2 linked regions of the Arabidopsis thaliana genome follow. The protein of the gene in region 1 interacts with the protein of each later gene in a pairwise test. Each region holds a gene or a part of one and is shown on either strand. Other genes may lie near its edges. The genes, in order: GDU3 and AT5G23710.

What was found.
Region 2: the proteins of GDU3 (region 1) and AT5G23710 interact in a two-hybrid assay, tested with the Arabidopsis thaliana proteins (one large-scale study listed by BioGRID).

Annotation. Positions count from the first base shown.
Region 1 is NC_003076.8:23,364,980-23,368,937, reverse strand, and holds GDU3 (glutamine dumper 3), read left to right. Parts: upstream 1-1,874; 5' UTR 1,875-2,135; coding exon 2,136-2,582; 3' UTR 2,583-3,133; downstream 3,134-3,958. UniProt on the Arabidopsis thaliana protein: Probable subunit of an amino acid transporter involved in the regulation of the amino acid metabolism. Stimulates amino acid export by activating nonselective amino acid facilitators.
Region 2 is NC_003076.8:7,995,602-7,999,594, forward strand, and holds AT5G23710 (DNA binding / DNA-directed RNA polymerase), read right to left. Parts: upstream 1,905-3,993; 5' UTR 1,784-1,904; exon of another isoform or gene 1,638-1,783; 5' UTR 1,620-1,637; coding exon 927-1,619; 3' UTR 820-926; downstream 1-819. Other genes in the region: AT5G23700 (coiled-coil protein), read left to right, coding at 1-54, 150-325, 476-605, 683-819; PHS1 (dual specificity protein phosphatase family protein), read left to right, coding at 2,708-2,749, 2,920-2,997, 3,088-3,230, 3,366-3,567, 3,640-3,816, 3,921-3,993.

The sequences.
Region 1 (3,958 bases):
GAACTTGACCAAATAAACTTTGATCCAAATAGACTGTGCAAAAACATGGGACCATTTTTGTTATCTCATCTATAATTTTTAAAATTATCATTGATGAGATAATTGAGACCTCAGGCATATGGTTTGGTATGTTGTTTCCAGCTTTTTTTCATTGGGGTTTCCCACTTTCCTTTTTGATGATATATAAAATTTTCTGTACTCCTCTAATATATCATTAAAATATTTTAAAAACGTAAAATTTGGTATGTTCTTGTTAGAATGATGATTTTGGTGCATAGTGGATTTTTTTATATATGATAAAATCAATAGTCACTTGTTAAAAGCAATTTATGGTGGTGGTGGGCTACCGTCTGTTTTTTCATTTATATTTATGTGTTCACAGTTCACGATGAAATATGATAACATATATATATATATATATATATATATATACCTATCATAATTATTTTTTATGCTGTATATATGTGAAAAAATTGTCTATATATAGTAGTTAATTAATTATGTATATGAATACAGCATGAAAAATTATTGAGAGCGAGTGTGAGTCTTGTTGTTCTTGCTTTGCCGAGTTTCAAGGTCTCATACGAATTCATTTGCTCTTTAACAATCATGCATATCTTGCATATATATCAATATGTTGGAGATACAATAAAGTTGGTTATAAATATGTATAGTGGAACTCGAAGTAAGAAGATTTAAACAAACATGTAATTTTAGTTGTTTTAGGTAACGTTCACTTTACTTGTTTGGCGTTAACGGTTATTACGTTTCCGGCTATCTCTTCACGTTTGCATCGCTCACCTAAATTTTAGCGGCTTTAACGGAACCGTTTTTGGTCAGTCTCTTGTCCTTATCTTATTCCCCTTTTAATTGCCTCTTTTAAACCCTCTTTCTTCTTCAGAGTGTTTCTTTATCTATTAGCCATCAATCATTGGTTTTTTTGTTCTAGTTAAAAAATTCATCATTTTCATGACTCTTATGTTTTCATGTCTCACTTTTCCACTGTAAATTAGAAAAATAATTATTAGCCAAGTAGATGTTGATCTTACGCTGTACTAGTAGAGAGTATAACCACTCAGCAGATATTTTCTGTAAAGTCATACTATATTTTATTCGAGTGGATTCGACACTATGTGAATGGTTGTTAATTATCTAAAACAGTGTTTAAGTGTTACAATAAATGATTACTAATATTATAATTCCTTGGAGTATGATAGAATCGAAGATATTTTTTGAAATTATCCACTGATTAAGCTTAAAAAGTAGTAAGGAATACTGATTAAGAAACAGACCACATTAATTGGGTCCCAACTAATCACCGGCACCTAAACCAACAGAAGCTCATCATTACACGGCTTGCTAACTATACATAACATTCCTCTGTAAAGCATGTAGTTTCAATTTTTGAAATATATAAACCCTTAACCTTGCTGAGATTATAAATGTTACCAATCATTTTTAAAATGCTATTGCTGTGAATGTGAACGTCGATTATTTATGTAAACTTCTAAGTAAAACACATACACACATTACTCTAGAAAGAAAAAAGTAGATATGTTAGTTATCTTTTATGTTGGTAAGCGACTCAAAACGGACAAAAAAAAATGAGTATGGTAAATCTCAACAGCCAAAAAAAAAAGTTTACCATTGAATTAAGAATTTTCTCTTAAAAATATGTTTGGAAATCATAGGAAAACTTGTTAAATGTTTATTTTTTCATTTACAAATTATATATATATTCAGTGGTTAATCCTTTTGTACACACCATCTCGATTACTTTAGCAAACGGCAAAAATAAGACATAACATAAGTTATGCACTCACGTCACGACTCCATATAATCATTCATGATAACTGAGAAACATAAAAACTGAATTCATATTGCTTTTTTCTCCAACTCACTCATTACATACAAATACATAAATAAATAAGAAAAATTTCCATAAATCAGAAGTAAAAAGAATCTCATACGCAAAATAATAAAATTAAAAATTGATACGTCACACACAATCCACAACGTTAATTCGCTTCTTCTCTTCTATAAAACCCTTCCTCACTCATCTTCCTCCTCACACCAAAACATTTTCCTAAAAAAAAAAAAAACTCAAAACTCAAAACCATCTTTGTGAAAAAAAAATGGAAGGAAGACAATATTACCCTCCGAGAGAAAACGTTGAAGGAAACAGAACCACCATGGGAGGAGGACCTCACTCACCGTGGCATTCACCGGTTCCTTATCTCTTTGGTGGTTTAGCAGCGATGCTTGGTCTCATAGCTTTTGCTCTTCTAATCCTCGCTTGCTCTTACTGGCGTCTCTCCGGTTATCTAGACGGCGAGGAAAACCAGAGCAGAGAGAGAGATCTTGAAGTCGGAGATGTGAAACCTGACAAAACGGCGGTGAAGCCTGTAGCTTTGCCGGAGAAGTTCTTGGTGATTATGGCCGGAAATGTCAAACCTACTTACTTAGCAACGCCGTCGGTAAAAACGTGTACTTGTGACGATGATGACGATGAAGATGATGACGTGGAGGGAAGTGATCAGGTGGTGCCGCGGAGTAGTGAAAGTAACGGTGAGACACATTGACAAAACCAGAGGAAGGGAAGAGAAAAACAGAGGATCGTCTTATTGTGAACAGTTCTGAAGAACTGTTTGCAGCATCTGACCCGGTTGCGTCGGGTATTCGGGTTGGATCATAACTCTACTTGATGATGAGTAATATTGGAAAAAATTGGAATTGGGATTGAATTATTAGGAGTTGTTCTGATCAATGATGTATTTAAAAAATCTTAGCTTTTGCCTTTTGCATCGTTAATTCGTTTTTTTTTTTTTTGTAAGTTTTGTGCCATATCTAGGTCATGATGAGGGATAAAATGTAAATTTCTGAGACTTTGAATGTGAAATTTGTGATTTATGGAATTGAGAATGAAAAAACAAATAACTATCTGAGACTTCAATGAAAATATCTTGATTATTTTAAAAATTCACCAAAAAAAAAAGGTGATTAAATGATGAAAAAATTGTACTGTTCCAGTACATGTTTTTTCGTGGGATTAATGTGACAATTGTGGTCCGAACAAAAAAGAAAACAGAGAAAATATCAAAAGATTCTTCAGGTGAGAAAATTGAAGTGAGGACTACAGGCACGTGTGAAGGCACATGCAGAAGAATGTCTGATTTAATTTCTCTTAGGTGTCTCTAAATTGATGCGGCGAGGTGAAGCAGTTAAAATTAGCTTCAATCAACGACCCTAATCGTGTAATTAATCTCCTATAGCATAATTCTTATCAGGAAAATATTTTATAAGTTTCGAAAATGACTTTTAACTGCACTAGGTCTCTTTTCTTTTTTCCCTTTCAATCTTATCTTGTAGGCTGTAGCCCTAGCTAGGTTTCTTTTTTTTTATATTACTTTAAAGCTATGGATTCTTTATTTATACATTCATCTAATGAAAATGGATTACCAACTATTAATAGTGAATATTCGAGTTCAGAAACTAGACTTTGATGAATAACCGTCAATCTTTTGCCTCTTCTTCTTTGTTGCATAACAAATAGTTTTGTTTTATCAAAACAGAGTATTTTTATCAATTTAACGATATATGTTGAGCTGCGTAGACTTGTAATCAAGATGTTCGATGTAAAAATGTTTTTGGATTGGTTATGGGTCGAGAAAATAAAGTTGGCTAATGGTGGGTTTTATTTGGGCCCACTGTAGTTTTTTTGGTAAGAGGCCCATTGTGGTTATATATTCACTTTGTTCCTTACACAAACTTTGGGCCAACATTGATTCAACAGCTGATTAGAACTAATCTTCAAAGCCTGTGAGAGAACTCAGAACTGGATGGGTATTCTTGTTTTCAATCCATTTATAGTCATGGTTAAAACTTAAAATCATAGTGGAAAAACTCGAATTTTGGTCTTACAACTTTCAAGGCAAATATTGCAACTACTGACTGATAC
Region 2 (3,993 bases), about 15 Mb from region 1:
ATGCTGTTATGCTTGCATTCGCACAGAAGAGAACACCGAGTTTGGTTCGTCAAGGTATGTATGCTATATCATCAATTAGTACAGTGTCAAATATAGTCTGTTTTTACTAGTCATCGAGATCAATAGTCTGTTTTCTCCATATCTTACAGATTCCAAAGGGCATGGAGAACTCAGTTTTGTAGAATCATACGGTAAGAGAAGAGAGTCCAAACATGCACAATATATCATATCAGCAGTCAAACTTGATGAAATCCTTACTATGTTATCACATTTCTCAAATGCAGAGATAAAAGAAGGGGAACAAGAAGATGTTGCCTTTAAGCAGGTAGTTTCTTTATGCCTATAATTTCATAACTATAAGGTTATAATGTGACATTTTGTTACAAGAGATGGTAATTATTGGTATATTGTGGTTGGTAACTAAATTTATCGCGATGAATCTTGATGAACCGACGTTATTTGGTTATAAATGCAGGCATGGCTTATGTACTTCTGGGGTAGAGCCAAGTTGCATAGTGTGGAAGAAGACATTGCAGATGAACGTTTCCAGTTTTGGACCAGTCGTAGTGAAGGAAAATCTCCGACTTCACAAGATGCCGTTGACGGTAATAAACTTCTTCAATTGATTTCCCCTGTGTCCTAATTCTAGTTTTAATAACACATTAACTTGTTCTCTTTACAGTGGAACGAGGTTTGTTAGAGCTAAGGAAACTAGGAGTAGAGCAACAATTATGGGAAGCTTGTCGCAAAGAAACAGATCAGCTTCTTCCATCTTCTTCTCCGACATCTACTCTTTCAAATCACAACCTTGACTCTTAATTTAAAGATATCAATAGCATTATTCTCTATTGTATAACCGAAAAAACAAATCATCATAATCTAAAATCTTAAGTTTTAAACCCAAAAAAAAAAAAAAAAAGAGAGTGCTAAAAGTCTAACCATTTCTGAAAATAAACACATGTAGTGGGAGAGATAACACCATCAGGTGAACAGATCGCTATATGCGGACAAACCCCGCAAGGAATCGAAGCAAAAGCTCCAGCTCTCGGTTCGCCATTACCGAACTTTTTCCCGGTCAACCTGTAGCAAACTTCTCCGATTCTCGTAGAAGCAAACTCATTCATTCCATTACTCTTCACCTCCATGATCAAATTATCCAAAATCAAGTTCTTAAGTATCTCCTTAGTCTGATCAACACTCAGCTTCTCCTCTTTAACAAAATACCCACACAAAACCTCCAAAGTAACAACCCTCTGCCTATGCCTCTCCAAAATCATCACACACTTGGCTTTCAAATCTTCGATTTTCGACAGGTCAAGAGCTCCATCAGTGTACCATTCACCACCAGTAAGTTCACTACAAGGCTCAAACTCCATTGCAAGATAATGTTTGACACCTTTGTTGTTCATGTTTGCTACTTCTTTGATGAGATTCTTCTTCCGTAGAGAAGCGATCAATCGAGTAACTATAGTTGCTGGGATCGTTTTCTCGCGTTTCAATTCGAACATAGTTGCGCCTCTTCCTTGGTTTATTCGAATCAGATCCAGAAGCTTCTTCTCGTGTGGCTCGTTTAGATCACCTCCCGATGATTTCGGATCCGGACGTTTTCGTTTACTCATTCTTACAAATTCACCAAACTGCAAAAATCAATCGGAATTGTGACACGGTAATTGAGAGAATTCGTGTGATTTACGAAAAGGATTGATCTATACTATAAGAAGGTGATAAAATCGATGATTCTGAGATTACAAAGGATTTTGGTGAAGATTCAGATTCAATTTACCTGGAGATTGGTTTACTGGAGATGAACAATCCGATGAATATAGAGGCTTTAGGAGAGTTCAGAGAACGGAGAAGTCGTCCGTGACTGGAACGGATACGAAAACCCTAGGTCTGCTTTTAGCTAAATATATAAGACAGAGAAGAAAGTCAAATATATTAGTGTGGGCCTAAACTAATACACAACAAAAGGTAACTCGAAGTGGATTGGTACATATTGTTCAGGATTTTTGTTAATTCAATATGAGATTTCGCTATACAAGTTGGTTTAGATAAAAACATGTAGATTAAAAATATTTATTTTTAAAAAATTCAATTTATTTTTTAAAAATAGAAATAATTATAAAGTATTAAAATAATATATAATTTGCATAAAATTTTGAAAATAATTTATATTGTAAAACAAAAAATTTGGTCCAAAACAATTTATATTGTAAAACAAAGAAAGTATATATTTTTGATTTTTTACTAATATTTATGCTTATTAATTTTCAGAAATAAGTTGACAAAAAAATTCTATAAATATTTTATTTTATTAGACTGAACTTTTTCAGATTAAACCATAAACTTTAGTGAATATTTTTTAAAATCTAAAACCATTTTTGTATAAATGTTGTTGATTTCGACCGAAATAGTTTCATACAAAATATAGTTTTAAATAATAACACAAAACGGAAATAAAATAAAATTAGAAGACAGTTCTGTAAATAATAATATGTTTATTTTTTTAAATCTTGAATAATGAGAATAAAATGATCAGAGTCTTTATTACAATAATAAATTTATGAAATTAAATATCCGTCTTCTTTCTTCGTCCGACAAGTTCATATTAATTAAAGATACCTTGAGACTTTCCTCTTCTCAGATACAAAGCTGACATTTGAAGAAAAAGACATTTCTAAAATTAAACAGAACCTAAGCTTTTGCAATGGCGGAACCTGAGAAGAAGCGAGATCAACCATTTTCTCAAGTAATCATCCTTCATTTTTCCCCCACAAATTTAATAATCTATCATTATCACCCCCACCTTTTGCGTTCATCATTACCCCCACATTTATCTCTCCCTCTTTTCGCAGAGCCAGATTTTGATTTTGATTTTTTCCCCTTTTTCTCTGATCTGATATTATGGTGCTATCGCAGGAAAAAGACGAAGAGAAAGATCTATACCTTGTTCACGACGAGCACGAGTCTCCTCTTCCTCTCACCGTCACTTCTCGTGTAAATTTCTCCGATCCTAAATTCGTTTTAGGTTTTAGGGTTATATTAATAGTCTCGTCTTAAAAATTGGAAGACTTTTGGAATTTGCAGGTTTTGTACATGTTAGGAGATATAGCATCTGGTCCAGCTTATAGGTTTACTCAATGGTTGGATTTAGTTCGTAAACGAAGTGCTACTTACGGATCCTCTGGCTTCCCTCACCGCCTTCACCGCATCGATGATATGGTCACTAGGTTAACACTTTCTCTGACTTTTTGTCAAGTACTTGGTTTGTTGATTATGATTTTGGAATCTTATGAGTATATCAGAACAAAGGTTTCTAAATTAGGATATTAGTCTTCATGTCAGTTGATACAAGTATTATCCAGTGCAGGAGAGAGGAATACTGATCCTAAAAGTCCACCAAGTAGGCAGAGTTCAGAGATTAGTTTGTGGGAAAGGCTTGGTAAAGCTTCTACTGTGGATATTGATTCGAGCTGTTTTTCATGGAATATGTTGTCTTCACTTCATCATACTGAACATAGTAGTAGCACTGATCATTCTGAAGAAGACCAGAGTAAACCACTTGAGGTATATATATCATTATGATCTTGGACTGGTGATGCTAGGAGGATCTTTTGACACTATTAGATGTCTGTACAGGTTACTGTGAATTCTGGAGGAGTTGTTTTCTTTGCCCTGTTCAATAGTTCCAGCTCTGAAGATGCCTCTCGTAAGGAAGAAGCAGCAGTTATTAAATTTGCATCATCGAGGATGGCCACGCAATCAGAACGTCTAGGTTATGAGTTTTCCAAGTGGCTAGGGGTGCAGATTCCGCAGGTGCTTCTTTTCTTTCTTGTAGTTTTTTAAAAATGTAGTAATGGTTTTGCTCATTTCACTTTCTTTCTAGAATTTTCAAGTAATGAGTAATCATCATGCGACAGGCTAGAGTAATTCACAGCTGTAATCCTGAGTGGACACTGATCAAAGAAGCCACTGAAAAAGCACAAGCTAAAG